4 linked regions of the Notamacropus eugenii genome follow. The protein of the gene in region 2 purifies or fractionates together with the protein of the main gene of each other region. This does not show direct contact. Links are inferred from orthologs where the notes say so. Each region holds a gene or a part of one and is shown on either strand. Other genes may lie near its edges. The genes, in order: BAG6, MAVS, IFIH1 and ITCH.

Region 1 (7,746 bases), on a different chromosome or scaffold from region 2:
TGCCCCCGAGGCAACCCCAGAGGATGGAGGCTGGGTCTGTGGAGGGGCCCGCTCCACCAGATGGATCACCTTTCCCCCAACATCTGTAGTAAATGAGAAAAGAGAAGAGAAGAGTGAGGGAAAAGTCAGTTAAATACCTCAACCCTCCCCCCAACCAGCAAATAATCCTTCTCCTGAAGCCCCATCTAGCCCCTCACTGTATTCCTGTAGCTTCTTCTCATCCTGCAGAACTCGCCCCTGATATATGAGTCGCTGTTTCTCAGAAGGGATGCTGACCGAGGCAGCAATATGCTCCTTAAATTCCTTCACTGTCATCTGCAGAGATGAAAAGGAACAGGAAGAAAGGTCACAGAATATGTAATGCAGAATATCAAGCAATTAGTGGGGGGTAGAGGGGGGGTGAGTCACATAACAGTTATAAAAATCATTGCCCATTTTATTACATTTATGAAGTAGCCACTGCCTGCAAGGTTCTGGGCTAAGAAATACCTGACAGAAAACAGCAATTTTTAAAATTGCAATTTATTATTTATTTTTGACATTTTCCTTTTAAATTCTGAATTCTAAATTCTCTCCGTCCCTCCCACACCCACTGAGAGGCAACAATATGATATCAATTACACATGTGAAATCACAGCAATGGTTTTAAATGGAAATTCAATGGCTAGCCCAGGAGAGAATTAAGACATAACAACAGAGTCCCGTTAAGTCCTATATTCTCTCCCTTCCCTTTGGTTCTATGTCTGGAGTTACAGGTAGGGAGAACCTTACCATAGATATAAGTATGGTTAATAAGGGAACATTCTGTGAGGGAAAAGGAACTGTAATCAGACACAGGGTCCCAGACTGTGTTTGGATATCAGATGAGATTAGTTTAACAGATGAGATTAATGACTTGTGCATGTCCAAAGAAATAGGCTTTTTGTGTTATCTATGTATAAGTAGACATACACATACATGTATAAATGTGTTTATGTACGTAGGTGTATATATAGACATACACATACAAAATATTCTTCCTTACGTTGCTGTCTTTGTATCAAGTTAACAACAATAGTAAAAATAAACATTTATAGAGCATTTTACAGTTTTGCAAAAGCAAATAACATAGAGAGGTATTATAAATTTATCATTTCTAGTTCACTCATAAGGAAATCTAGGTTTAGAGATGTTTGGTGATTTTATCAATCCTAAATCTTTCCTAACTCTAAGTATACCATTATTTCCACAATACTGATCAACTAAACCAGACTTAGGGTGTATCCTAACTCAGTTATTCTGTCCCTGTGCCAGAAACCAGGGCATGATTTGAAGTGATAAATGGTTTTTCTCCGTGAGATTTCAAAACTTGAGAATATCCCCAAACAACCCTACTTCTAGGTTCTTCACTTTCATCCATGTTATACTTTCTCTACTGATATGGATCACAACTATTCTACTACTTAATAGTTTAATAAATTACTGTAAACAAAAAATTCATTTGTAGGCCAATCTTGTGATGATCAACCTCCTCTGAGTATTTCTCAAATGACAAATATTTAGTACACTGCTGGATCCGTAATCAAAGCCTTTCCAGCTTGATGGGACTTGGAAGCCTTGTAGTTTTGTTGGCCTTGCCTTAGAGAGCCAAACTATTATGAGCCAGCAAAGTTAAGGAAAGAAACATCCCTAATTACCCTCATACTTTCTCAAGTCTACTTGTGGTTTCTGCCAGCGTGCCCTGCCCCCACCCTCACCCCCCACAGGTTCCATATCTTTTTCCATTACAGCTGGAGGCTCTTCAAGGACAAGAAATTCATACTCTTTTTTTGCCTCTAGGATTCTCCTAAGAACATAATTATTCATATGATAAAGAGACTGTCCTCTTAGGAAATGCATCTCTCTGTGACCCAGACAACAATCAGAACACTTTCATGAGATGTTTCTTTATCTACAAAATGAAGAGAACCAGATGATCTCTAAACTACTTTCCAGTTCTAAAATCCACTAACTGATGTTCAATATGAATAATACATGTAAATAGAAGACAGACAGAGAATCTGGTGGGTCCTTTTCTCAGGATGAAAAAGTGATTAAGGAAAAGCTTTTTATAGAAACTCCGAAGATTTTTGAACCCTCAGCTCTCACCTCAGCCCCCACAGTGAAGGTTCGAGTCTGGGAGTCCAAGGTCTTCACCAGTACCTCCAAGTTGGCTGGTTCCTCCATAGCACTGCTGCTATTATCACTGGGTTCCATGATGAACACGCTGAAGAAGAAAACAAGACTAAATTGTTATCACAGGATCTAGCTAAGTTCCTACGTTCCAAGTGCTGATCCAAACTCTACCACAACTCCCCAAGGAATCCAACCCCCACTCCAACTCCAAGCACACACACATTGAGCTTCTAACCCTGGGTGAGGGGAAGAGAATAACAAGAGCAGTAACTCAAATACAGGAGAGGCTTTGAAATAACGCCTGTAATAACGTCAAGGCAGCATCTGTCACGACCCAAAGGAGGACAAGAATGAGAAAAAAGGATGGGGGGGAGGGGAAGGCGTGCGGGGTAAAGGCCTGAATAAGATTGGGAGGTCCCTTCTGTCAAGAAGGTGAGAAGGGACCAGGGAGACATGCGCCACGCACGCGCACCATGCCACGCCCACCGCGATAGGGAGCCCGCGAGCCTGCTTCTGTCGCGACAGATCAGGAAATCGGGACAATGACGGAAGGAAAAGAGAGGCCCCGGTCTAGCTGGATGTCACCCTTCCCCTCGGTGGTACAGTGAGAACTACGCACAAGTACAAACACATATACATACATGTACGTACACCCACATACATACACACTAGCTGGTAAGTACGTACACCCACATACATACATACACACACACGCATATACACACACCTGCCCCGCGGCTCCGCCCCCGGCCTCCCGGCGGCAACGCCACTTCCGGTCCTGCCCCCACACTTCCGCACGAACACTTCCTGTTCCCCGATAGAAACTGGGGGGTCGCGAGACGGCACTTCCGGTTCCCCCGGTCCCCAAGATTTCCTTCTGTGGGGTACGACGAGGAAAGGGGCAGCCCGGGTTACCGGGGAGCCCCTAAGAGGAAACGAGTCGGGGCTCGGCCAAGGTGGGAGGAAGCCGAGCACCCACAGGAGCCACCGTCGCCGCCTCCCGGGGGACCTTAGTGCGCTTGCGCAAACCACACTGCGCTTGCGTACACGATTGAGGACCCGCCCCACTGATTGGATTTACCAGCCTACAGTGCGCGCCTGCGCCACAGCGCGAGGAGGGTGGGGAGGTCGCGTAGCGGATGACTACAGCAAATGCCTGAAAGTAATTTTCCCGTTGGGGCTTTCCGTCTATCTCGCAAAAGACCTGTTCTCTCGTGAGTGGGAGGACTGTGCCTTTGGCATGGAGGTTGCTTCTCTAAAAAGGGAAGAAATTCGCGGTTGGCCGCGTCCATCGGACGGCAATATTTTAGACACCTAAAGTAAACCCGCTTCCACCTCTCCTTAGGTAACCTTCCAAGCAGGCGGTTAGGGGCGGTGAAGGTTGGGGCTCCGCACCATGTTCATTCAGAGGGGCACGAGCCAGCCGCCATATTTCTTTTGGGCAACGCGAAGTTTTTCAGGGTGGGATTCATACGTGGGCGGGTTTGCGTTTTTTTTTTTTCCTTCCTAAGGGTCACGAGAGTAGCCAAACCACTCGTTGACATCTCTGCCTTAAATGGAGGGGGTGGGGGAAGAGGTAAAGAGGCCATATTTTTTGAGGGCGGAGGTTGCTGCCATTTTGTTACTCTTGCTTAATGCTGGTGGGGGAAGGGAAATGGAAGGTGGTAGCTGGTAGTGGGACAAAGACCAGGGATAGGGAATGGGGGAACCAGAGGAAGTCTGGACCATAGAGGAGGTGACAAATCCAGAGAGTAGTGCTCGGTGGCTAGGCAAGACCTTTGGAGGTCCCCTTGGGGCTAGGAGGGTCACCATTTCAGAACTGTAAGGGATTTAAGAGGCAGCTTATTCCAACCCATACCTCAGCAAAAGCTTCTCCTCAAGAAATCCCCAGCAAAGGGGTCATCAAGATTCTACTTAGAAGACCTGGATGAGAGAGAACAACTACTCTTTAACAGCTCATTCAGCTTTTACATAGCTTTCACTGTTCAAGATGATTTTTCTTTACATTGGGCCTTCAAAATGGGCTAAAGACAAAAAATTATTTATCCAGTGCAATTTTATTAATTACCAATTTAAATCCAACCAATTGAATCTCAGATCAGGCCCTCTTTTTTTTTTCCCCCTGTAAGATTTATCATAGACTGCATTAAAAGAGGTATGTTGTCCAGAATGTGGAAAATAGCTTTGTGATTTTCAGCCCTGGTCAGATCACATATGGAGTCCTGTGTTCACTTTGGGGTACCACATTTTTGAAAGGACAGTTAGGAACTGGGAAGCATTCAAGGGAGGACAACCAGGATGGTGAGGGACTTGGAGGAAATTTACATACACAGATACATACATATACCTTTGTTGTTGTTCAGTCACATCCAACCCTTGGTGACCCCATTTAGGGTTTTCTTGGCAAAGATACTGCTGGAGTGGTTTACAGTTTCCTTCTCCAGCTCATTTTAGATGAGGAAACTTGCCAAGTGACTAAGTGACTTGCTCGAGGTCACACAGCTAATAAGCGGCTAAGGTCAGATTTGAACTCAGGTCTTCCTGACTCCAGGCCTGGGCCATCAAGCTGTCCCTAATATACATACATATACAAATATGTTCATAACTGATGGAAGGAACAGGAGATTTGTTAGCTGGAAAACTGAAGGCTCAAGGAGGGATATAACTGTCCTCAAGTATTTGAAAAGTTGTCATTTGTTAGAGTAATTCTACCATTCCTCTGCGGCCCCAGCTGTCAGAACTTGGAGCAATGGACAGATATATTGGGTTTTTTCCTAATGGAGCCTTCTGCAAATGCAAGGGAGTGGTGCCTCTTTAGGTGGTGGGTTTCCCCTCACTGGAGTCATTCAAGTAAACACCAGATGACCAGGAGTAGAGGATGATTAGAGTAGATTCTTTTTAAGGTATAGGTGTATAGCCCTTGGGGGTGGAGCGGGGTATAGTGGGCTATATGTTCCCCATTGAGTAGGGTTCCAACTCTGAGATTTTATAAATTTGGCTGTGCTTTATTGTTCGAAAATTTCTCTTGCATCCTTGTTTCCCACTATTGTTTAACCCTTGTATGCATTTCTTTCTGAACATTTAAGCTTCTGCAAAATGGAGTTATTTGCTTCTCAAACTTTCTTACCTCCTAATCCTATTCATCCTCTAAAGCTACCTTTAAGTGACATTTCCTTCAGGTAATAGTAGCCTTCTGTTTGCTTCTCATCCCCCAACTGATCCTGTTATTTTGCAGAAAGGTGCATTTTATTTGCTCCTCTCATATACTTTTGTTCTTTGCACTATAGTTATTTATGTATGTTTTGTGCACTATGAGATTGTGAGGTCAATGAGGATAGGTAGCAGAAGGTAATTTGGTTTAATGGAAAGAGTACTGAACTTTACAGCACGACTAATGTGAAAATGTTTAATATGAATGTATACGTAGCACCTATATCAGATTGTAGGCCTGTGTGTATATGTACATATATGTGTATATGTAGCACCTATATCAGATTGCAGGCCTGTATGTATATGTACATATATATGTATATGTAGCACCTATATCAGATTGCAGGCCTCTGTGTATATGTACATATATGTGTATATGTAGCACCTATATCAGATTGCAGGCCTGTATGTATATGTATGACCTACATCAGGTTGCAGGCCTATATGTATATGTATAGCCTATATCAAATTGCAGGACTATATGTACATGTACATATATATATACATATATACACATATATATATATGTAGAGCCTATATCAGATTGCAGACCTATATGTATACGTAGAGCCTATATCATATTGTAGGACTATATGTATAATGTATATGTAGAGTCTATATCAGATTGGGGTGGGGGAAGGGGAGGAAAGGGGAAAAATTTGTAACTCAAAATCTTATGGAAGTGAATGTTGAAAACTAAAAATAAACTTTAAAAAAAAGTTGAAAAAAAATTACTGGACTTGGAGTCAGAGGATTTGGATTGATTGCCAGCTCTGCCACTTAGTAGTAATGTGACCTTGGAAAAATCACTCCTTTTTCAGACCTGTTTGGTTATTTGTTAAAAATGCAGGGTTTGAACTTTTTAGGTTCCTCTGAAATCTAATATATCTTTCTCTATGCCCAGCACAGTATATAAAAAGTACTTAATAATTACTTTTTTAATGTAATGATTTTGCTGCAGTGTTTGTCTCCTTAATTAGATAATATGCTCTTTGAGGACAGGACTTCTGTCTATATTCTCTCTCCCTCACCAGACATGGTGCTATGAATATAGTATACAATAAATACTGCCAGTGAATGAATGAAGGAACCTCCAGAAGGCTGCACCCTTCCCCTCCCCCAGCCAGGTGTAAACTCCCAGTTATGCTGCTAGTATGTAATTTGAGGAGGGGGAGGAAAGCCCAGAACACTGTCAACAACCCAGAGTTGGGTTGGAAAACAAGACTAGTTACTCATTAGCAGATCCAGGGGATCAAGGGTTGAGGAAAGGGGCCAGAGGCTGCACTGGACAGAACTCACAGAGGAGAGTAGTTTCAGGCAGCTGCCACCCTTGCACTATACTCTCTGAGGATGTTCTACCAAATTTGGAAATCTGTCCTTTACATCTCCGGGATTCTCTATGACTCCATTTACCAGTGTTCTAAGCCTTATCAATTAAGTCCTCTGGAAGTAAATGGAAAAGAGGTATGGGGGCAGGAAGGAGGGTAGGGGAAAGACAACAGGAGGGAATTAAGCAGGGATTTGGTGGTCTGTAGAAGAGATTTTGAGGGACTTAAAGTGGGGAGCCTGGGGGAATACCTGGAGGTACAAGATGATATGGGGATAGTGATGACAAGGAACGGATATAAAAAAGAGTACTGAGACTTTTAGAGTAGTAAGCCCAAAGGTCTTAACAAATGAAAAAGCCTTATTAAAAGAGGTAGGAGTGACCTGGGGCAAATGAAATGGAAGCTCACCCATAGTTCCAGAACCATTGGGGGATGAGGTTGAGTGAAGGATAATGAAACCTATCTGCAAAGGAAGAGTTTTTGATTTCATACCCTCCTCCTGTCTTGCTCATCCAGTTCCCTGGACCCTACCTGGGTCAATGGTACTTCATTGCCGGTGCAGCTTCTACAAAGCAAGATCTGGAGATCTTTGTCCCAGTGGACAACATTCTCTTCAACATGGCTGCTAGCCATGTTCCCCAAAATCTCCAACTACAGGCCACCATCAGAAAGTAAGTTGTGGGGAAGGGTATCCCATCAGGTACCTTTCTCTCCATTTATTATTTCAAGCCAGAAATTCCCAGAGTCTGAGCTAAAGTTAGGTTTCTATTTGGACCATTGCCAGCTGCTAAATGTAATGGCCTTTCCCCATTAGATAATTGGGATTCCATCAAGGGCCCTTATTATTCAGTCTCCTAATATCTTGACCTCTCTGGGTTAGCTGACTCTAGTCTCTAGTTCATCCCTGGTTAGCATCCTGATTAATAGATACAAAATTTTTCTGCCAGGCCAGTTGTCTTCCCTCAGGACAAAGAAAATGGGCTCTTTGCTGAATGGGTTAGATTAAATGGAAGGGAGAAAAGGATTGGTGAAAGAGTTTATCTGTTTGTGTGGA
Region 2 (6,844 bases):
CCTAGGATGCAGGGTCCACTCCACTCCACATTGCCAACAGGCCCAAGAAGAGATTGTGGAGAGTGGGCCAGGGGCCCAAGAAGCCCTTGTAATTGAAGTGAACCACAGGGTTTGCTCAGCATTTTGTCCCAAAGTGCTCCGATGCAGCTCGCCACCTGGATCTTTGGATCTTTAGGAGATTGATTAACAAGTGCTTTTTGGTTGTGTCAGGTTCCATGTCAGGTTCCTCTGAGGAGGAATGACCTATGCATCGATAAGTCTGTAAAGCAAGAGAGCCTTTACTAGCACGAAGCCCAGAAAAGCCTCTGGCAGGTGGGAATGAATTTATTTAGCAAGCACTTGTGTGTGTTTGTCCTTCATTGCTGAAGAAGACCTTGCTATCAGAGAAATAATGACATGACTTGCACTTGACTTTGTTTTGAGTGAGGGAGGGCTGTGCAGGTCACCAGCCTCACTTCTTCTCCAGAGCCACCTGAATCCAGTGAATCCATTCATCAGGATGACTGGAGATGACCCAGGATGAGGCAGTTGGGGTTAAGTGACTTACCCAAGGTCACACAGCTAGTGAGTGTCAAGTGTCTGAGGTGAGACTGGTACTGTATTCACTGTGCCACCTAGCTGCCCCAAAGCAAGCACTTACTGTGTGAGTAGCTGAGCTATAAATGCAGAAACAAAGCAGTGTCTGGAAGGGTGGCCGAATTGATTTGATGGTAATTCATGGCTCCAGAACTTCAGAGGTTCAGCAAAGGAGGAACATATTCATGGTGAGAGGAGGAAGTGAGGTGTAGCCAGGCTGGGGCTTTTCCTGAAATGCCATTCTGGGCTCTGAAGGGGGCTGGGGATCCCAAGAGGTGGAGGGGAGGAAGAGATTGCATTCCAGGCATGAGGGGTGGTTTGTACAAAGGTCCAGAGGGGGTAGATGAATTGTGTGTGCCAGCTAAGGAAGGCTGCTTTCAGCCCGGTCACTCCTCAGTGTCCACCCCAAGGCCCTCTCTTTACTTGATGTCCTTGGCTCTCCAGACTGAACTCTCACCTCTGTGTACAGCCCCAGCTGCACAAGCCCCACATCACCTCTTTTGTGAACTTCTCCAAGTGCATAGGTGGCCTTGAGATAGCTCCAGCACAAAATGTCCAAAACAAAGTCATTTATTAGATCTCAAGGCCCACCTCTTCCTAACTTAGCTAAATCTTGTGGGGAGTGGATGGAGCACTGGATGGGGATTCAGAAAGACCTGAATTTGAAACACGTGCTTAGCTGTGTGACCTGTTTCCTCATCTCCACCTCCACATCAAATCTGGTCCCAAATCTTTTGCATGTTTCTTTCTATTCCACTCCCCAATTTAGTTCCTCATTACTCTTCTCTGAACTATTGCACTAGCCTCCTAATTGGTCTTCCAGCCTCCCTCCCCTCTAGCCTAGCCTCCATACTCTTTGGGGAGCAGTGTTCCTAAGGCGAAGGTCCGGCTCTGTTGTTGTCCTGCTGAATAAAGTCAAGTGTCTCCTCTTAATAGAGAATAAAAAAATGCTTTTCTTGTTTGTGTTTTAGCTGTCCAGATTTATTGAACGTGATTCTACTTTTCAACCAGACTGTCTTGCTGGTTCTTTTGGTTGATGGCATGACATCTGCTTGTCTTTGGACTAGCTTTCCATCCTTCAGGCCCAGCATGTCCTCTGCCCTCTCCTCAGCCTTGCACAGTTCATGCAACACCTTCTACAGAAAGTCCCTGGGTCCTTCCCCAGAATATTGCAGGAAGACTGCCCTTGAGGCCTGTCTGTCTGAATCCTCAGTGACTGGCACAGAACTCAGTGCAAACTTAGTGGTGGATGAAATGTCATCTACTATTATTACTAACTGCTAAGTCCATTCTTGGTCAGTGAATGACCAGAGCCAGATTGTGAAGGGCCTGTAGTGCCAAACAGGGGAGCCAGTGTTTGGGCCACACAATTACGGAGAGCCCTTGGTGTTGGAGCAGGGGAGCAGCATGCTTGTACCTGGGCTTGTCATCTAGGGAAGCCCAGGGAGGACACTGACAGTGGGCCAAGGAATAAGCTATGCGGTTACCCAGCACTTTCCCACCCTGGTTTCCAGTTTCTTCTAGAAAGTAAAGAGATTGTACAAAATAACCTGAGGGAGGCCCCAGATTGGCCTCCCCCACGCTCCACAGCATGGAGCCCAGAGGCAGGCCTTCTTCCTCCCTTCTCCAGCTGGATTCTTCATCACTCCAAGTAGTCTTTTCCTAATGCATAATGTAGTGTGAAAAAGCCATAACTTACATGGAGGATCTGGGTTTGAGTAACTGGTCAGCGACCTGGTGTCAGGAAGACTCATGCCCCTGAGTTCAAACCCAGTCCCTAGCTGTGTGGCTCTGGGCAAGTCACCTCACCTTGTTTGCCTCAGTTTCCTCATCTGTAAAATGAATTTGGTTGTCCATGTGGCCCTTGGATTTTTATCCTAAACCTCCTTTGCCTACTGTACTTCTTGCCCAACGCCTCTGCGTGAGGCTAGATTCTCTTCTTACAACATGTCACAGCAGATCAGATGATGCAGAAACAAGACCCCAACTATTCAGCCAGACGTTCAAGAGCCTCACAACAATCGGTAAAACAATACTCACCAGACAGGTCCTGTTTTGGAAAATAGTTACTATGTTACTTTTAAGTGACTTTCAAAAATGTATTCGCTTTCCAGTATGGTCAATATCAATAGATACAACCCACCTTAACAAAACTTTTGGGTCCTCGGCAATTTTTAAAAGTAAATATATCCTGAGACCGAGAAATTTGAGAACTGAGCTCGATCCTAGGCCACTTGTAAGGGAAGAAGGGAAAAGAAACAAGCGTTTCCCGTTTCTCCTCCGTGTGCCCGGCACTGCTAAGCGCTTTCAGGAATACTGTCTCCTTTGATCCTCACATCAGCCTGGGAAGTGGGGGCCGGGGTGCTTAGGGGGACCGAGGCCGAGGGCCGGTGCCTTGCCCCGGGTCTGAGGATCCAGGTGCTCTCGCGTCTCCAGCGCAAGGCCCTCTAGCGCCACCTAGGAGCACCGGGGCACCTTCGCGGGCGACCTCGGACCCTGGCTCTGCGTTCTCCAGTGCTCGTCGGTTTAGAACGTGCGCTGGGGCGGGATTCACTCCTTCATTCCACGGACGCGGAATAAGGCGCCTGCCTGTGCCTCGGCCCGCCTTCGGAGGGGGACAGCGGGGTGCAGACCCGGCTGGCGGGGCCCGGGCTCTTCTCCTCCTCCTCCCACCAGCCAGGGCTGGACACGCCCTCCGCACCGAAGGAGCAGAGGCGACCTGGCCTGCCTTCCTCCCCGGGACAGTTAGAGAGCAGTCGGAGGACGGGAGCACGGGGACAGCCCCTGAAGAGCGACTCCCCTCCCCCCATGGCCTGTGCTGTGGCCAAGGACCCCCCTCCCTGGGCGACGGCTCCCCGCTCCCCCCGCAGTACTTGGCCTTCCTCCTCTGTCCGTTTTTGGGGTAACTTGTTGCCCCGAGACGCGCCGGATGGCGCCTGGCAGGGCCTGTTGACTCCTTTTCCTGTCAAATTTGGTCAAATCATTGCAGTCCTCTCCCCCGACCCCCTCCCTCCTTCCCCGACCCCCTCCCTCCTTCCCCCGACCCCCCCTTCCCCCGACCCTCTCCCTCCTTTCCCCGGCCTCCTTCCTTCCTTCCCCTCTCTCCTCCCACCCTTTCCTCCCTCTTTCCCCTCCCCTCCCTCCCCTCCCCCCTCTCGCTCCAGGCCCCGCCCCCTCGCCCCGCCGGCCAATAGGCGGGCGCCGCGAGGGCGGGCGCGAGCCTGGGCCTGGTCCTGCCCCCGCCTGCCGCCCCCGTGCTCGGCTCCGCTCGGGCGCTGCGGGCGCCTCCGCCTTTTCCCGGGGCAGCCTCAGAGCCTGGGCCGCTGCGCCAGAGCCGTCGCCAGCCTCGGCTGGACCGGACCGGAGCGGAGCTGAGCGGGGCTCTGCCCGCAGGTAGGCGGGGCGGCGTCTCGGGGACCCCCTCCGGGCCGCCCTGGAGGTCAAGGGCAGGGGAGAAAGGAGGGGGAGGAGCGGGCCTTGGGGGTAGGGCCGGTGCGCGGCTCGTCTGCCCTTGACCGTGGTCCTTGGGCGGGGGAGGGGAGGGGCAGCCTCGGAGTGCAGCAGGTGGGAGAGGAGGGGACTGAGGCTGGAGGGAGGGCGGGGGGGGGGGGGGGGGGGAGGGGGGCGGCTGGTCCACGTGGCCCAGACCGGGCACCTGCCCGCGGTCCGAGCCGTGACCTGGGCAGGGGCCGAGGACAGGAGTGTTTGTTTGGGGCCGTAGCCTGGTGACTCTGACCAGGTGCCCACAGATGCCGAGACCTCGTGGGGGAAGGGCACCCCCCTCCGCCCCGGGGCAGGGTCAGGCCGGGAGCAGAGGGGCCCCAGAAGGGCTCTCCCAACCCTGACACCCCGGGCCCCCTCCCCAATATCCCCTTCTCTCCGTCCTTAGGTGGCAGTGCTCGCTGCTGGAGCCATCAGAAGTGCCCTTCTGTGCTGAGGTAACTAGGACCTTCTGGAGATAAGACTTTACTCCCAAAGGAGTGAAGCTCTAATGGTGCATTGTACTGCCGCTGAATCACAACATTTGCCCAATTCTCTCATGCCATTCTTGGAAAGGGAGCCATGGATTAAATGATGGTCGGGTGAAGTGAATTCAGAACTAGTGAAGTGGTCCGGCACAAAGGATAGTCATTAATGGCCCGGTGGGAGAGGGGAGGGAGGTCACCAGTGCTCCAGGCCACCGGATCTTCGCTCGATCCTGTGCTGTGATGAAGGGATAGATTTTGCATCAGACTTGCAGGTGACACAATGCTGGAAGGGATGGGCATGGACTGGAACGTTAGACCTCCTAAGGATAAATGATGTTTTACACCTGGGCTCAAAAAGCACCGAGACAAGAAGAGGAATGGCTGGGCAAAAGTTTCATTGATAACTATATGGGGTACATCAGCTAGGAAAGCTGTGTTCTCCAAGAGAGCACTGGGGCAGTATTGTGTGGGCTGCAGGCTGTACTTTAGGAAGGAGGGTGGAACAGGGAGGGTGACCAAGATGTGATAGCCTCAAGATCATGGCACAGGAACAGGGTCTGTGCTGTAAAGAGGAGACTTGGCAGACACTGTCTATGGACCCCAGAAGGAAGAACTCAGAAGGATGGGCAGACGTTACCAAGAAGCGTTTTTAGATCTGATGTCAGGAAAACCATGCTAACAGAGCTGCCTCCTCAGGCTGTCATGGGTTCTCCTCTACAGAGAGTCTCCAAGGGAAGGCCGGGTGACACCTTGTCCAGATTCTTATTCAGGTGTTGGTTGGACTAGATGGCCTCTGAGGTTCCTTCCAACTCCGACATTCTGTAATTGGTTTGAAAGGGATCAGAGGTCATTTGGTCCATCCCTCTGCCTCCAAACCAGACTTCCCAACCAACTTGGACTGCATTGGATTATGGAAAGTCCTCAGGAGAAGAGAAAACCAGTCTCCCTGATCACCCTTGCTCATTGAAAAGGGGGAGCCTGGGTTTGGCTGCCCCACCGGTGTCTGTCAGATGACAGTCGCAAGCCTTCCTTTCTCCCTCCATCTTTCCAAATGCAAGAAGCCTCCGTGGTTCTATGGCCCCACTGATTTTTCCTCCATCTTCTGAAGAATTCTCCATCTCTGCTGGCGCTCTACTTGATGGCCATTGCTGGGCCAGTACGCTGTCCTCACTCACTTTAGAAACTGAAAGGAACTTAGCTCATGTTATTCAGGTTCCCACCCCTACCACATCTCCCTGAGAGGGAAAAGAGAATGAACTTCCCCAAGGTCACACAGATAATGAGTGGCAGGGCCAGGAGTCAGCCCCAGTCCTTCTGCCTCCACATTCTTCACACCACAGACTCATTCCTTTCCCCTTCAGGCCCTGAGTGACCATGCCTCTGGCTGAGGACCGAACTGAGCAGTACATTCGCTTCCACCTCAGTGACTTCTTCCGCATTGATGTCTTGGAGATCCTGTCCCACCTGCCCTGCCTCACCGTTGCTGACCAAGTAGGTGATATAGCAGAGGCAGTTTTCACCCTGAAGCTTCCTCTCCTCCTCTCCCCTTATCAGCTAGATGCAGAGGATACTCACACCCTCTGGGACACCTGCATCCTCTCCCCTGCTCCCTTACCCTTGCTCTCAAGGCCCCTGCCCTAGCCTATCCCAGACTTGTACCCTAGCTACAGAAGCTCTTCATAGTGTGTCAATCCCTTCTTTCTCCTCTCTGGGGGCTCAGAGGCTGCCACAGTCCTAGCTTGGGAGGTGAGCTCTCTGAAGCCATGGTCACAACTTTCTCTTCCAGGACCAGCTCCGTGCCTACATTGACCGTCATGGAAACCGTGACAGTGTGTGGAAGCTCTTTGATCACCTTCGTAAGCGCAATGGCTGGGTGACCTGTCTCATCACAGCCCTGAAGGAATGCGAGCTGACGGACCTCGCTGATGTCATTGCTAATGTCTATGCATCTAACCAGGCCCGTGAGTGCCCTTCCTTTTGTCTTCTTGCACTGGGAGGTCACTGAGCACCTCCCCCAGCCTTGGTGTGTCTATGCCTCAGCACCTTTCCTCCCTTCTCACCCTCTCATCTGCTCTCTCTCCACCTCCACATGTGTGTGTGTGTATGTGTTTATTCTATCTGTTTATCCTCTCTATCATTTCTATTGAACATCTTGTCTATTACATCCTTCTGTCTGTCTTTCTATTCATTCCACAAGTGTCTGTTAAGCTGCCTGGCCTGGCAGCTGGGTGGTGCAGTGGATAGAACACAGGGCCTGGAATCAGGCAGGATCATCTTCCTGAGTTCAAATCTGGCCTCAG
Region 3 (7,709 bases), on a different chromosome or scaffold from region 2:
AGGAATGTAAACAGTTCAACTTTAGTAAGTCCCTTATGACTTCTCCTTGCTGTTTACCTTTTCATGTTTCTCTTCATTCTTGTGTTTGAAAGTCAAATTTTCTTTTCAGGTCTGGTCTTTTCATCAAGAATGCTTGAAAGTCCTCTGTTTCATTGAAAGACCATTTTTTCCCCTGAAGTATTATACTCAGTTTTGCTGGGTAGGAGATTCTTGGTTTTAGTCCTAGTTCCTTTGACTTCTGGAATATCCTATTCCACACCCTTCGATCCCTTAATGTAGAAGCTGCTAGATCTTGTGTTATCCTGATTGTATTTCCACAATACTTGAATTGTTTCTTTCTAGCTGCTTGCAATATTTTCTCCTTGACCAGGGAACTCTGGAATTTGGCCACAATGTTCCCAAGAGTTTCTCTTTTTGGATCTCTTTCAGGCAGTGATCTGTGGATTCCTTGAATACTTATTTTGCCCCCTGGTTCTAGAATCTCAGGGCAGTTTTCCTTGATAATTTCTTGAAAGATGATGTCTAGACTCTTTTTTTGATCATGGCTTTCAGGTAGTCCCATAATTTTTAAATTGTCTCTCCTGGATCTATTTTCCAGGTCAGTTGTTTTTCCAATGAGATATTTCACATTATCTTCCATTTTTTCATATTTTTGGTTTTGTTTTGTGATTTCTTGGTTTCTCATAAAGTCATTAGCCTCCATCTGTTCCATTCTAATTTTGAAAGAACTATTTTTTTCAGTGAGCTTTTGAACCTCCTTTTCCATTTGGCTAATTCTGCTTTTGAAAGCATTCTTCTCCTCATTGGCTTTTTGAACCTCTTTTGCCAATTGAGTTAGCCTATTTTTCAAGGTGTTATTTTCTTCAGCATTTTTTGGGTCTCCTTTAGCAAGGTGTTGACCTGCTTTTCATGCTTTTCTTTCATCTCTCTCATTTCTCTTCCCAGTTTTTCCTCCACCTCTCTTACTTGATTTTCAAAATCCTTTTTGAGCTCTTCCATGGCCTGAGCCCATGTATATTTATTTTGGATGTGTGGGATACAGAAGCCTTGACTTCTATGTCTTTCCCTGATGGTAAGCATTGTTTTTCCTCATCTGAAAGGAAGGGAGGAATTATCTGTTCACCAAGAAAATAACCTTCTATAGTCTTATTTTTTTTTTCCCTTTTCTGGGCATTTTCCCAGCCAGTAACTTGACTTCTGAGTTTTCTTTCCTCACCCACCTTGCCTCCAGATCCACCCAGCCAGCAGGGTCTGAGATTCAAATGCTGCTTCCCAGCCTCAGGGCTTTGGGTGCGAGCGGGGTTGCTATTCAGTGTGAGATTAAGTTCAGGTGCTCAGGTGGGGGCAGGGCCGCCACTTGGGGCTCAGTTCCCTCAGGGAGTTTATGTGGAGATCTTCAACAATGAATCCGGGCTCCTGCCTGCTTGGGGAGCCCCTGTCTGCTGCTGCCCCTGCTGCTGTCTCCCAAGGGGGCCTGAGTTATAGGGACACCCCACTCCCCTCCTGGCCAGCCAAAGAGACCCTCTCACCAACCCTTGTCACCTGTGGGTGAACGGACCCGTGTGGCTGCTGGAGATTCTGTCCCTGAAGCCTGCTCGGATCTGCTCCTCTCCGTGCTATGGCCAAGGCAGGGCTGGGCTCTGCTCTGGGTCTGGGGCATGGCAGACCTTTCACATCGGTTTTTCAGGGCTCTCTGGAACAGAAATCTCATCTGCTCCGTTGTTCTGTGGCTTCTGCTGCTCCAGAATTTGTTGGGAGTTCTTCTTTACAGATATTTTATGGGCTGTGGGTTTGGAGCTAGCATATGTGTGTCTTTCTACTCCGCCATCTTGGCTCCTCCCCCCTCAAGTATTCTTTAAGTCAAATTAGCAAAGGTTTATTGTAACACCAATATAGAGGGCAGAGCTTCATGCAACTTAACAGGAATGATGCTAAAACTTATATAGGAAAAGTAATGGATTATCTGGCAGATATGCTAATTAGATGATAACTTGCAACCTTGGTCACTGGCATCATTCACTACTGGAAACCAGGGGAAGAGGTTTTTAAGGGGTGTATTTTTGGTGTTACATCTGTGGTAAGGTAGCTTTGAGAGTTGATTTCTATAACTTGACCTCTGGATTGAATATGATAACTTTGGGAATCAATACATGATAATTCTGTGGTTACAAGATAGTCCTGTTTTTACAACAGAATTTCTTCAGAGGTCAGCTTGTTCTTGTGATGGGGAAAGATAGTTTGTCTTCCTGGGGCCCACTCGTGAGTTATTGCTAGGCATACTGTCCTTGGGCTGGGGAGAAAACTCTTAGTGTTTTGAAGCTGGGGAGAAATGTGATCTTGGAAATGGGGCCCGAGCATAAGCACCCCATCAGAAACACAGTTTGTTCTGGGCTTTGAAGAACCTGTAGGGCATGAAAAAAATTTAGGAAAGTATTTTAGAAATTCAATTCCATTCAACGATCAGATGTGAGTAAACATACCAAGAGATAGCCATGCGCCTGGTGTGTTAAGGGTGAAAAAATGAATTGACCCATAGAGTTAGTGTTGAACAATACTGACAAATAAGATTTCAGAGGTAGAGGCCAGATTATGATGAGCCTTGAATGCTAGGCTAAAGATCTGGAACTTTGATAGTGGACTATTGCAGAAATTTTTTGAATGATATATAGATAATGGTGTTTTTTATAAAAATTTTTATTGGAGCAGTGTGTAAGATTGATGGGATTAGGGAGATGTCAACTCCATAGAGTAGTCTTTACCTTAGATGTTATTGCCCTCTATTTATGTGTAAAAGTTGTAAAGAAACATGTGGAAACCGAGCTCAATGTCCCCATCCCCCCCCTTCCCCTCCTAATATTACAAAATAATATTAGGAGCATACTTTAATCTAAAGTTTTAAAAGTCTTTCTTTAATTGTTAATCCTGAAACAATGTCCTACACTGACATCTTTCAAAAATCATTTTCATTGAAAACCCAATTAGTTTCTACAGAGAAAAGCCTGATTAGTCAAGGACTCCTGCTTGAAGTAATTAGCACAATGATTTATGAGAAGGAAGTTTTTTTTAAATTCAATTGATAGAAATGTCTCTTCACTTGAGTTCACCAGTAACTGATCATCTGCCGTCTATGAGTATCTAAGCCCAAGAATCCCAGAAATGACAAGACCCCCAGACCATCAGTTTGGTTTCCAACCCAGCCTTCACCTCAGTCATTCCAAGACTTCTCTCTCCTCTATCCGAGGACATATAGCAACCGCTTCTGTGGATGCTGCAACCACAGCTACTTAATACCAAGAAAAGAAGATTATTGTTTCCAAAATCTTTGACCCTGTTAAATTGTTCAGCATGACAAAGTGATATGAGTTAATCAATGGAAATGACACTGAACATGATGCATTACCATATGCTTCACCATTACAACCTAAGGACCTAGGACTTTCCTATCTGACTTGGAGCTGAAACTTATCTATACGTTCTTCCCCATTAGAATGGGAGCTCCTTGAAAGCTAGAAATGTCTTAAATTTTTATTTGTGTCCCTATCCCTAATTCAGTGCTTTGCAATATAGTAAGTTTTTAATAAATGGCATTCATTCGTTCCTTCACTTTTGATCATGAGTAAAAGACAGTCCTTAGAGGCAGTGGTTAAAGAGGGACTGAATGCTGTTATATCACTGGACTTGATCCATCTGAGTGTTACCTACATTCTGTTCCTTAAATTCTGAAATTTGTTTGATCTTGACTGTGAAATTTTGTCTTTGTTTCTGAAAACTATAAAATGTATGAAGAGCTTGCCTGGGGAGGGGGAGTTTCAATTAGCAGGGGTAAATGTGCCATTTATCTCTCCTTCCAACTAGCAGAGAGAGTGTGTGTGTGTGTGTAGGTGTACATACACACACATACATTTATATATGTGTGTACAGCTAACATTCATCTAGCGCTTCAAGGTTTGTGAAGTACTTTGTATATGTTACTTCACTTGGTCCTCATGACAACCTTGTGAGGTAGACGTTATTTTTATCCTCCTTTTTATGAATAAAGAAACTGAGGCTGAGAGAGGTAGGAGCTTTGCCTGAAGTCACAAAGCTAGTAAGTGTCTGAGGCTGAATTTGAACTCAGGTCTTCCTGACCCAAGTCTAATAGTCTATCCATTGTACCACCATATACATTAATAAAATGTCTCCGACAGATCTGAAGTCTAAAAAGAAAGTACTTTTTTCTGAAAAAGAGGGAGGCAGAGAGAAAGAGGGAGGAGGAGGGAGATGGAGAGCTCTTCCACCTACCTCTCACGCTGCAGTGCGCTCTTTACAGACTTTCACCCAGCTGTCCAAATTTTCCTGCATCACTTTCCCGAACCCATCACTGCATCTGTTGGGAACAGAAGCGCTGACGGCTTGTATACGTCTTTCACGGACTTGAAGCCTTTCTCAGTCTTCTCTAAAGCAAGCAAGGGAAGTTGGGGAATCTTAAGTCAAATCGGGAAGGGCCCTGGGAGATCGTTTAGCCCCGCTCCTGTATCTTATCAAGGAGAAAATGAAGGTCTCCGTAACCGGCCCGGCCCGGAGGGGAGTCTGGGGCATGCACCCGGGGCTGCTAGAATTAGGATCCTGGCGGACGCGGGGGCTCTGCCTCCTACTCAGCGCAGAGCTGCTGCTCGCTCCTTCACCCAATAAAGACCTACTTTATTTTGCCTCTGAATAGGCAGGTCTGCATGAATTGTCCGTATATACGTTCCTCCCCAGCCGCAGCCTGGCTCCGCCCCTCTCTTCACGCACGGAAGCTCTGGAAGCCGGGAATCGAAACAGAAATTGTCCCGGTTCAGACTTTAAAAACTAAGTTCCCCGCAGGCCACCAGGCGGAAGCTTGGCCCCGCGGACAGCCGGCGCTTGGGCTGTGGGACGAGACAGGTGGTGTCACCGCGACCGGGGGCCCTGCCGGTCCGAGCCGAGCCGGTAGAGCTGCCCAGGGAGCTCTCCTTGTGTCCGCGGGCAGTCCTGGCGGAGCAGGGCGCCAGGGCACTCAGCGCCGCGCAGGCCGGCCAGCCGGAGCCATTCCGGTAAAACCCACGGTCCGCGCCGAGGCAGGACGAAGAGGGAAGGGCTCGCAGGAGCGCGCCGAGGGCCCCTGGGCTGCCCACGACCCGGGCGAGATGTCGAGGGAGCATTCCCCGGAGGAGACCTTCCGCAGTCTGCTCCTGTGCTTCAGGCCCAGGCTGAAGCGGTACATCCGAGTGGAGCCGGTGCTGGACTACCTGACCTTCCTGGGAAGAGCGGAGAAAGAGCAGATCCAGCACGTCGCGGCCTCGGAGGGGAACACGGCCGCGGCCGAGGTCCTGCTGAGCACCCTGGAGAGAGGCACGTGGGGGCCCGGCTGGACCCGGGAGTTCCTCACGGGGCTTCAGAACGGGGGCTGCCCCTTGGCGGCTCGCTACGTGAGCCCGGACCTCGCCGACCTGCCCTCGCCGTCCTTAGAGACCTGTCACGACCGGTGCGTCCAGCTGCTGGACCTTCTGCAGCCCACCCTGGTGGACAAGCTGCACGCCGCTGATGTGGTGGACAGGTGCTTGGAGAAGGATCTGCTGACGAAGGAAGACCGGAACCGGGTAGGTGCCTCCTCAGAAAGAGCCCTCTCCTGCCCCCGGTGTGCACACCTGTGTGCGCGCACCTGTGTGCATTCTGGGGCACCTCTGACCGAGTTATTCCTTGAGAACCCGATAGCTCACCTGGCCAGGTGAAAAGACAGCCCAGTTCAGATCTGGTCTGCCTCTGCGATCTTGGGCAGATCACCCGATCTGTGTGTGCCCCAGGAGGGAGCTGGGCGAGATGGCTTCTGAGGCGTTCGTCCACTTGGAAGTTTAGGATCCATGACGCGAGAGAGCTGTTCTCTTACTTCATCCCTGCCCCTTCCCCCCCCTGCCAAATAAATATTGATTAGACATAAAAGGTTATCAAAGACAGACTTTTTAAAGTGGGGGCATTTTGCTTCTGAGGATGTAAGAGAATGACTCTGTAGCTAGCTGTACTCAGGGCTTCATGATCCCTGTCCAGTCCCATCTTTCAGTATGAGCAGTGGTTATGTGGTAGCTTATGTCATGAAAAACTCATAATACAGACATTTTAATGAGAATGTTTGGTATTTTAAAAACGGAAAGGGAGACGTTCCTATGTTGCAGGAATCAGTGTGCCTTTTAACAGGTCAAAGATGCCACACCTCTCTGACGTATTGAGTAAGAGCTCTGCCTTTGGTTTCAGTATGGAATCAATGGCTTATATAGTTTTATACTCACTTTTAAAATTTATCTTATTTTTATGTCACTTAAGTTTACTCCATTATCTTGCCCAATCCTTCCCCTCCAACTTATATAACAATTAGAAAAGTAAGAAAAAAAACATCAATTAGGTAATGACTGTACCCCTTGTGGGGGTACAAGCAGGATGATTTCAGAAAAACCTGGAAAGATTTACATGAACTGATACAAAGTGAAGTGAGCAGAACCAGGAGAACATTGTCTACAGTAATAGCCATACTGTATGATGATCAACTGTGACTGACTTAGCTATTCTCAGCAATACAGTGATCCAAGACATTTGCAAAGGACTCGTTATGAAAAATGCTGTTCGTCTCCAGAGAAAAAACTGATGGTGTCTGGATGCACATAGAAGCATACTGTTTTTTATCTTATTGTGTTACTGTTATTTGGGTTAGGGGGGAGATCTGTAGAGTTTTTTTTCACAGCATAACTAGTATGGAAATATGTTTGATATTGCACATGTCTAATTATGTCAAATTGCTTTCTCTTTCAGAGAGGAGGGAGGGGAGAGAGGGAGAAAATTTAGAACTAAAATTAAAACAATGTTAAAAATTGTTTTTACATTAGAGAAAATATTCAAAGAAAAAATCAAACCTAATCAATGAAATTTTTAAAAAATGTGACAATATATTCAGTATTCCATACTTGTGAACCTCTCCACCATCTTTGCAAAATATTGAGAGAAGATGGATTTTTTTAATAGCTTCTTTGGGGCCAAACTTATTCTTTGCAATTTTACAGCATTCGTTTTCAGTTATTTTGTGGTTCTGTCCATTTACCTTGTAGTCATTGTGTAGATTTTCCTGGTTTTGTTTATTTTACTTTTTATCATGTTCATGTAAGTCTTTCTATGCTTCTCTGTATTCACCACATTCATCATTTCTTACATCGCAGTCATATTCCATTATGTTTGTATAACATAGTTTGTTTAGCCATTCCCCAGTTGATAGGCATCACTTGTTTCTCATTTATTTTTGTACTATGTGTTAGATACTGTGCTAAATGCTAGGAATACCAAAAAAAAAGGCAGAAGATAGCTCCTGCTCTTGAGAAGCTCACAGTTTAATAGGGGAGACAAAATGCAAACGGCTATGTATGGGATAAAGTGGAAATAATCAAGAGAGGGAAGGCACTGAAATTAAGGGGGAGTCAGGAAAGCCCTACTCCTGTAGAAAGTAGGATTTTAGCTGAAACTTGAAGCCAGTGAAACAGAGGTAGAGATGAGAATGGGGATTGGTATGGTATGGGGGGTGGGGGTGGGAAATGCCTGGAGTCTGAAGATGGAGTAACTTGTTTGAGGAGCATCAAGAAGGCCAGAGTTACTAGAGCTCAGATTATGTGGAGGGGACTAAAATGTTAAAAGGCTGAAAAGGTCAGAAGAGATCAGGTTATAAAAAGACT
Region 4 (7,427 bases), about 320 Mb from region 2:
AGTAGAAAAGCAAGGAAAAGACAAGAGACCTGGTTTCTTTCCAAGCTCTGGTATTTACTGCACAGCCTAAGCTCAGTCATTTCCTTTCTCTGTGTCTCAGTGTCCTCTCTTGTTAAATGAAATTAATAACATTCGGACAACCTCACAGGGTCTGTGAGGATCCAATGTAAAGTACTGTATAAATGTCAACAGTTATTATAAATATGGCCAGACCTACTCTCAGACCCTCTTCTTGCCTATGCCTGGGCAAAGATTTGCTGGTCTTCGCAGGACAGCTTTAAGGGCCATGGTGCCTCAGAAATACCGTCCATTCACCAACATATTTGCCATTTACTAAATACCTGAGGTATACCTCTTTCTAGCACTGAGGTAGATACAAAGTATGGATAAAAATATTTTCTTTTTTGTTTTCCATAATGCCAAAGTGCTAGTGACCTTAAGTGGCTGCTTTGTGAAGTCAAGAGAAGATCTATTAAATCTTGGAGATGGAAAGGACCTCAGATATCATCGAGTTCAACCTATACCTGTATCCTCTATACATTTGTTAAATGTGATTATTCAGTCTCTTCTTGAATACCTCTGACAAAGAAGAAATAATTATTTCCCAAGACAGCTCATTACATTTTTGAATATCATTGATTGTTAGAGAGTCCTTATGTTAGAGCTTATTCTGCCTTTTCTCAGCTTTCATCCATTGCTACTGTTTCAGCCTTCTGGGTATAAACAGAAAAATTCTAAACTCTCTTCTATATAACATCTCTTTCAATACTTGTTAACACTGTTAAAATAATTAGCTTGTTTTAAACTTACAAGCAATCACAAAGTACTCTTCTCTGAGACTTAAGGGACTTTATTTTAAATGAAAAGTTACAAGTTTCAATCACAATCTCTTAGAGCAGCCCCAGTTACAAAAATTCCTAATATTTAGGCAGAGATGGAGCTCTGCTTCAATTTACATTTATATCTATTTCTAGTTAACCTTTGGCCTCTTTGGAGGTAGGGGCAAAATTCATGTTACTGGAAATATTTGGGCTGAAAAAAAAATAAGACTATATTATAGTGTCTGTGGATAGAGAGGCACCAGGAGAGGAATTTGGGGAGAATACTTTTTTTCCTTCAGTACTTCCCTCAGTCCTTGAGTAGGTGGGGCACACTGTAGAGTCAGCCTGTAGAACCAATAACCCTCCTGGATATCTTTCTTCTCTGTCCTTTTGTTGGTTAGTTGCTTCCTATAATATCAGTTCTTTCATGCCTGCCTCTGTATGACTCTTTCTTCCTCTTTTCTTAAAATTTAGAATTTTTATTCTGAGATAGCTCCTTTTATACAATTTCTTTAGGACATAACCAAGTCTCAAACAATGCCTTGGATTGACTCAAGAAGGTGTAAATGCCCAGTTTACACCAGGGTCTTATTAATTCATTCTAACAAAAGTAATTATTTTTAAATGGTTGGATAATCAAAGGATTTCCACTCTTACTTTTGAAAGGTAGCATCAGAAAAACAAAACAAAACATTGGATTTGGAGTCAAAGAACTCAGGGTTAGACTTCTGGTTTTACTATCATGCTGTTTGTACAATATCAGCAAGTCATGTTTCACCTCTGTTTTTTTTCTTCTGTAAAATGACATCAGACTAGATGACCGCCAAAGTTCCTTCTGGCTTTATAGCCTATGGCTCAATTCCCTCTTCCCCTATTCTACTCTTATCTGGCTAAACTTCGCCCTCTAAATGATTGGAGAAGGGTATGGGACAGTAGCAGCTTCTAATTTCTTGGCTCTTACTGATTGTATGTGTTATAAAGTCTTCATGCAGGAAGGTGGAGAGTTGCTTTAGTCGCTACTGAGTCTTGTGGCATAGATCTTTGAACTCTGATCAGAGGTTTTCCTGTGCTAGCCCCAAAGGCCTCTGAACCCAGTATGTTGCATATGAATGGAAGGGAGGACTCTTTGCCTTTCCAGGCTGGACAGCCTGAGCCCCTCAGCTATATTCCTTCCCATAGCTTATATTCTTTGGGACCCAGGATGGTACAGTGGCATGAGCCCCAAAGACCCAGGTTCTAGTTCAAGCTCTGCCTTTAACTATGTGACCTCTGGCAAATCATTTTCCCTCTTTTGGACTCAGTTTTCCCATCAGGAAACTGAGTAAATACTGAGATTGGATTTGACAATCTGAAGTCCCTTCTAATGCTATGATCATGTCTTGTAGCACCTTGTAAAGCTGTGTATAGAGTAAGAGGTTTCTTCATATCACTTTAATACTGTGCCTTGGCTCCTAGAAGGACTTCAGGCTTACTTGTCCTGTTTTAGTTAGTCTTATGTAAACACACGCTGAAATTTTTCAGGTTATATGGCAAGAGAAGGTTATCCCCTAGAAGTTCAAGGATGCCTCCATTGTCCATCTCTATAAAGGTAAAGAAAATAGATCGTCCTGAGATAATCACGGGGTGAGGGATGGGGGTGGGAGGGTGGGGGTGTGTCTCTCTCTTAGTCACTGCTGGCAAGATTTTTATTAGAGTCCTCCTTAATAGGCTGATCCTTCACCTGGAAGATGGTCATCTAACTGTGAGCCAGCGTGGCTTCATAAAGGGCCAAAGCACAGTTGTTATGGTGTTTGCTGCCTGACAACTCCAGGAGAAATGCCAGGAGCAGAACAGAGGTCTATACACAATATTTATAGATCTGACCAAGGCCTTTGACACTGTCAGTCGTGAGGGCTTATGGAAAATTACGTCAAAATTTGGTTGCCCAGAGAAGTTCATCAGTATTGTATGTCAATTTCATGATGGCATGTGTGCCCAGGTTCTGGATAGTGGACAATGCTCTCGTGCCTTGTCAGCCACCAATGGAGTGAAACAGGGTGGTGTGCTTGCTCCCATGCTTTTTAGCATGGTGTTTTCAGCCATGTTGTCAAATGCTTTCAATGAAGCTGAACATGGCATCAAGGTCAGCTACCATACAGATGGTAAATTGTTCAATTTGAAAAGGCTACAATTCAAGACCAAGGAGGAGGGAGTGTTGGTGCATGATTTTCTGTTTGGAGATGATTGTGCACTCAATGCAGCCTCTGAAGCTGAGATGCAACAAGGTATGGGTCAATTCTCTGCTGCCTGTGCTAATTTGGGCCTAATAATTAACACCAAGAAAACACAGGTGTTCCACACATGGAACCATCAGTTACAACAAATGGAGAAGTTTTGAATGCCATGGATAAGTTCACTCACTTTGGTAGTGTACTTTCCAGGGATATACACATTGACAATGAGGTTGACACACTCATTACTAGAGCTAGCTCAGTGTTTGGGAGGCTCCTAAGAAAACTATGGCAGAGAAGGGGTATTAGATTGACTACCAAACTGAAGTCTACAGAGCCGTTGTGTTGACCTCATTGTTGTATGCCTGTGAAACTTGGACAGTCTACCAGTGCCATGCCAGGAAACCAAATCGTCTCCATTTGAACTGTTTTAGGAAGATTCTGAAGATAGGTAAGGTACCCCGACGCTGAGGTCCTTGCTTGAACTAAATTGCAGGGCATTCAAAATATGCTTCAGAGAGCGCAACTTTCATGGGCTGGCCATGGTTGTTTCAATGCAAAATGTATGCTTGCCAAAAAGACCATTTTATGGAGAACTTGTATAGGGCAGATGGTCACATGGTGGTCGGAAGAAGTGATACAAGGACACTCTCAAGGTCTCTCTCAAGAACTTTGGATTTGATTGTGCAACATGGCACAGGACCGCTCAGCATGCTGTGCCCACATCAGAAAAAGTTCTGTGCTCTATAAGCAAAGCAGAACTGAAACAGCACAAAGGAAACGGAGGATGCACAAGTTTGAAGTATCCACCCTAAATGTTCACATCTGTGACCAGTCTGTGGTGAAGCATTCCGACCTCGTATTGATCTGATCAGTCATAGTCGGACATACTGAAACTGGACTTTATCATGGTGATGTCATTTTGGTCTTCGAGAATGAAGGACAACCACCATGTAAACATAGGTACCTCTTTCCTTTATTTGCCAAACGGTAGGGCCAGGGTTATTATCCAGATTGGTGTGAGGCAGACAGGGTACAGGGGCTGGAGCTGGTACTAGGACTGGCGGTGTTACCCAGCACTGCTGTGAGACAGGAAGGACAGGAGTTATCATGCCCATTTTACAGAAGCAGACGTCATTTGTTCTGGCAAATGCCACGACTTGCTCAGGGTCCCACAACACTTGCCGGCGTCAGAACTCAAACCCGGGACTTCCGACTCTTACGTCTAACGATGCAACCCGTGCCCATCTCACACTCAGAACTTCCAGAGAAGAATCGCCGAGACCCGAATCACCTGCCCTTGAAGTATCTAGGGGAAGCCAGCTGCTTCAGGATTTTTCCCCCTCCCCTTTGCCCCGCCCCCAAACCTGGCACCTTTCGCTGGGAAATGGGCGGGGCTCGCGATGCCTACTAGGACTTGTAGTCCCGGCCGCTCCCTGGCTCCGCCACCTCGGAGCGGCCGCGCCTGCGCACTGGGTGCCGACTTTGGCTGCTCGCCGTGGTTGGAGCTCGGGAGTGGCTGCCATCTTAGCCGCGGGACTGAGGAGCTGCTGCTGCCGCCGCCGCTGCCGCCTCCTCCTCCTCTTCCCCCCAGACCGGTAAACACCTGCGGGAGGGCGGCTGGTTTAGAAGCGGGGCGAGGGGGAGATCTCGGGGAGGACGGACGGAGCCGTGCCCCGCAGGGAGGGAGGGAGGGGTGGCCCCTTGGTTTCTGTGAGCCCCCTCACTGCCGGGCCCGGTCCGCGGGAGGGGAGAGGGACAAGTGGGGCCGCCGGGCGCGGGGGAGGGGGCCGGCACGAGCCCGGAGCGGCGGCGGCACGCTGGCTTGTGGGGCTGGCGAGGCGGAGGGGCTTGGAGTCCCCCGCCTCCCGGGCCCAGAAGTTGTGTGTGGAGGAGGCGGAGAGGGGAGAACGAGGGTGGCGGGGCGCTTCTCCCCCCTCGCTGCCGAGCCCAGCCCTGCTCCGCCCCGCTCGGCTCTGCTCCGTGCCGGCCCCGGCTAGCTAGTGACTGGGCGCGAGCCGCAGGCACCCTGCTGCCGGGGTTCCGCGGGGGGAGGGGAGCGTGGAGGCGGAGGCTTCCCCGCCCCCCGCTGGCACCTGGGCCGGGCCGGGGCGGGGGGCGGCTGCAGCCCCCTGGGACCGAAGGCGTCCGGAGCGAGGGCGAGCGGGCGAACATTGCCCACTTGCTGTCCCCGCCCCCTTCCTGCGGCTTCATTTCCAGGACGTCTCACTCTAGCGCTGCTCTGGCTTTCCCGAGTCCACAGCTTTCACCTGGTTCTTTCAAATCGCACCCGCCAGAAAGAGAGGGAGCGACTGACGAACCCTCCTCCTTCCCATTGTCCTCGCTGGCTGTTCGGTTCCCTTGCCTTTCTCCCCCGGGGCTCTGGTGCCTTCTGTCTGCGCCCGCCCCCTTGCCCTCAGTGCAGTGTTTATTTTCTTGGGTCATTGAAGCTGAGATGACTTTTAAAAAAAAAGCAACCGACCAACACAGGTGGAAATGAAAGCCCGACAGTATGATGATGGTGGTGGTGGTGGTGTGTGGGGAAGGGGGTGTAACTTGTTTTTAAGACGAGTATTTTGACGTGAGTACTTAAAGAGTAGATAAAAACACCAGCTCTGTAGGGTGGCGATAGAGGTTGGGTCTAAAATTAGTCATCTTGCGTGTAAACAGGTGAGCTTAAGCTCTCAAAAAGGCACATTTCTTAAAGGAGAGTTAAAGTTGATTCAGAACAAAGACAACTTTGTTTTAGTATACCTCTTAATTTTTTCCCATACTTCTTGCCTTCTCATAGGATGGGTTTCTGTTATAGGTTTTATGTGTATATGTATGTTGTATGATTTTTGTTGTAGAATTTTTTCCCCCCTCATGTTGTAGAATAGCCAACTGCCACTGCCTTCTTGCTTTTAAACTATGGAGAAAGGCTATATTTACAAGACAATGAATTAAGTAGTGCATTTCTATTACTTTCTTTCACTTTCTAAACCAGCTATGGGTATTTAGAGATTTATTTTCTAAGAACCTTTTCACCACAGAAATGAACTGATTTGAGATCTGGTGAAATCCTATCCTGTTTCTGAGTTTCAGTTAATGTAAAGGACTCAATGGCAAATACAGTGGCTTCAGAGACAGTGACTATAAGGCCCAAATAATTACATCTGTATATTTTCAGCTATGCAGAAAAAAAGTTTACTGTTGCCAAGTGATTGCCCTGTCAGATTGGTCAAAGGGGCTCATTAAGAAGGCTGAATAACACAGTCTATTATATTTGAGTTCAGTTCCTAGGGAGCCATTCCTTAATATTTATGTGAAACACCACCAATTAGTACCAGGTCAGTTTGGGTTTTGAGAAGAAGTAGGAGTTTAGATTGAATGGTATGAAGAGCTAGTGCTCTATTCCAGGGACTAAAAAGTATCTATCTAACTTCCTTCCAGTCAAGCAATTAGCAAGAATTTATTAAGCTTCTGCTACATGCTAACCTATGTCTACCAAAGAAATAAAGACAGAAATGAAAAAGTCCTTGTTCTCAAGGATTTTTTAGTCTATCACAGGAGACATGTACACATTTAGGTATGTACCAGAAAATATTCATATGAGTCTTTGGTGTCAAAGCTTTGGGCATTCTTTCCAAAAATGCAGATTGCAACCTATTCATACCTACCCATTTTTTGGTGAGGTCCATGTTGTCCTAAAAGTTCTTCAGAGAGGAACTACTCAATGGGGAGGAGATCATCCTTTTCTCTATTTGCCTTGATATCAGCAGGGTACCAGTGGAACAGTGTAGCTGTCCACTGTAATCCTTTGCTTTTACTATATGACAAACCATCTTTTTCTCTCATGTGTTTTTTGGGTAGCATTCTTCACTCCTGTTCTTTGAAGTTCTTTGTTGGTTATGTGTTGTAATCTGTTTGTATAGACTACGCTTTTCTGTTACCCTTTCTATGATACTCATCCTTTCTTTAGAGGCAGTAATACTCTACATCTTGTTGCTAATGTAGAACACTGGTAAAATGATAGTATTGAAAAAAACGTGCCTTTGCTTTCATAGGAAACTTGGGGTCAGTAAAAGACCTTTGCAGCTTTCTGAAAACAATCCTCCTGTTCATTTCTGGTCATGTTCCTTCATATCTATCTGTATTGTGTGTCCTAGATATACAGAGTGTTGGAGAAGTTCTGTGGGTGTCCATCAAAATCCATGTTGAAATTGGAACAATAGACATTTTCATCCACTTGGTCTGTCTTGTTAGTTTGGGTAGGAATTTTTTCACACGCACACACGCACACACCCACACACATGCTTTTGTCTTGTAATTGTCTCCATCCTTTACTTTAGTTAGCTTCCTGTCATTTGAGTTTCAATTTTATTTCTGTAATTTGCATCTCTACCCTGGTATTGTC

Evidence for each region.
Region 1: the proteins of MAVS (region 2) and BAG6 purify together in Homo sapiens (affinity purification with western blotting; 3 studies listed by BioGRID and IntAct, with this or other methods). This does not show direct contact. The link is inferred for Notamacropus eugenii from reciprocal best matches to the Homo sapiens genes MAVS and BAG6.
Region 3: the proteins of MAVS (region 2) and IFIH1 purify together in Homo sapiens (affinity purification with western blotting; 12 studies listed by BioGRID and IntAct, with this or other methods). This does not show direct contact. The link is inferred for Notamacropus eugenii from reciprocal best matches to the Homo sapiens genes MAVS and IFIH1.
Region 4: the proteins of MAVS (region 2) and ITCH purify together in Homo sapiens (affinity purification with western blotting; 3 studies listed by BioGRID). This does not show direct contact. The link is inferred for Notamacropus eugenii from reciprocal best matches to the Homo sapiens genes MAVS and ITCH.

Annotation. Positions count from the first base shown.
Region 1 is NC_092873.1:85,277,682-85,285,427, forward strand, and holds the start of BAG6 (large proline-rich protein BAG6), read right to left. Parts: upstream 3,017-7,746; 5' UTR 2,882-3,016; intron 2,754-2,881; exon of another isoform or gene 2,627-2,753; intron 2,246-2,626; 5' UTR 2,236-2,245; coding exon 2,128-2,235; intron 316-2,127; coding exon 198-315; intron 84-197; coding exon 1-83. Other genes in the region: APOM (apolipoprotein M), read left to right, coding at 6,715-6,828, 7,209-7,363. UniProt on the Homo sapiens protein: ATP-independent molecular chaperone preventing the aggregation of misfolded and hydrophobic patches-containing proteins.
Region 2 is NC_092872.1:735,786,444-735,793,287, reverse strand, and holds the start of MAVS (mitochondrial antiviral-signaling protein), read left to right. Parts: upstream 1-3,838; 5' UTR 3,839-3,969; intron 3,970-4,465; 5' UTR 4,466-4,514; intron 4,515-5,905; 5' UTR 5,906-5,918; coding exon 5,919-6,035; intron 6,036-6,330; coding exon 6,331-6,505; intron 6,506-6,844.
Region 3 is NC_092876.1:221,886,421-221,894,129, reverse strand, and holds the start of IFIH1 (interferon-induced helicase C domain-containing protein 1), read left to right. Parts: upstream 1-4,709; coding exon 4,710-5,604; intron 5,605-7,709.
Region 4 is NC_092872.1:418,486,997-418,494,423, forward strand, and holds the start of ITCH (E3 ubiquitin-protein ligase Itchy homolog), read left to right. Parts: upstream 1-4,415; 5' UTR 4,416-4,434; coding exon 4,435-4,629; intron 4,630-7,427. UniProt on the Homo sapiens protein: Acts as an Acts as an E3 ubiquitin-protein ligase which accepts ubiquitin from an E2 ubiquitin-conjugating enzyme in the form of a thioester and then directly transfers the ubiquitin to targeted substrates.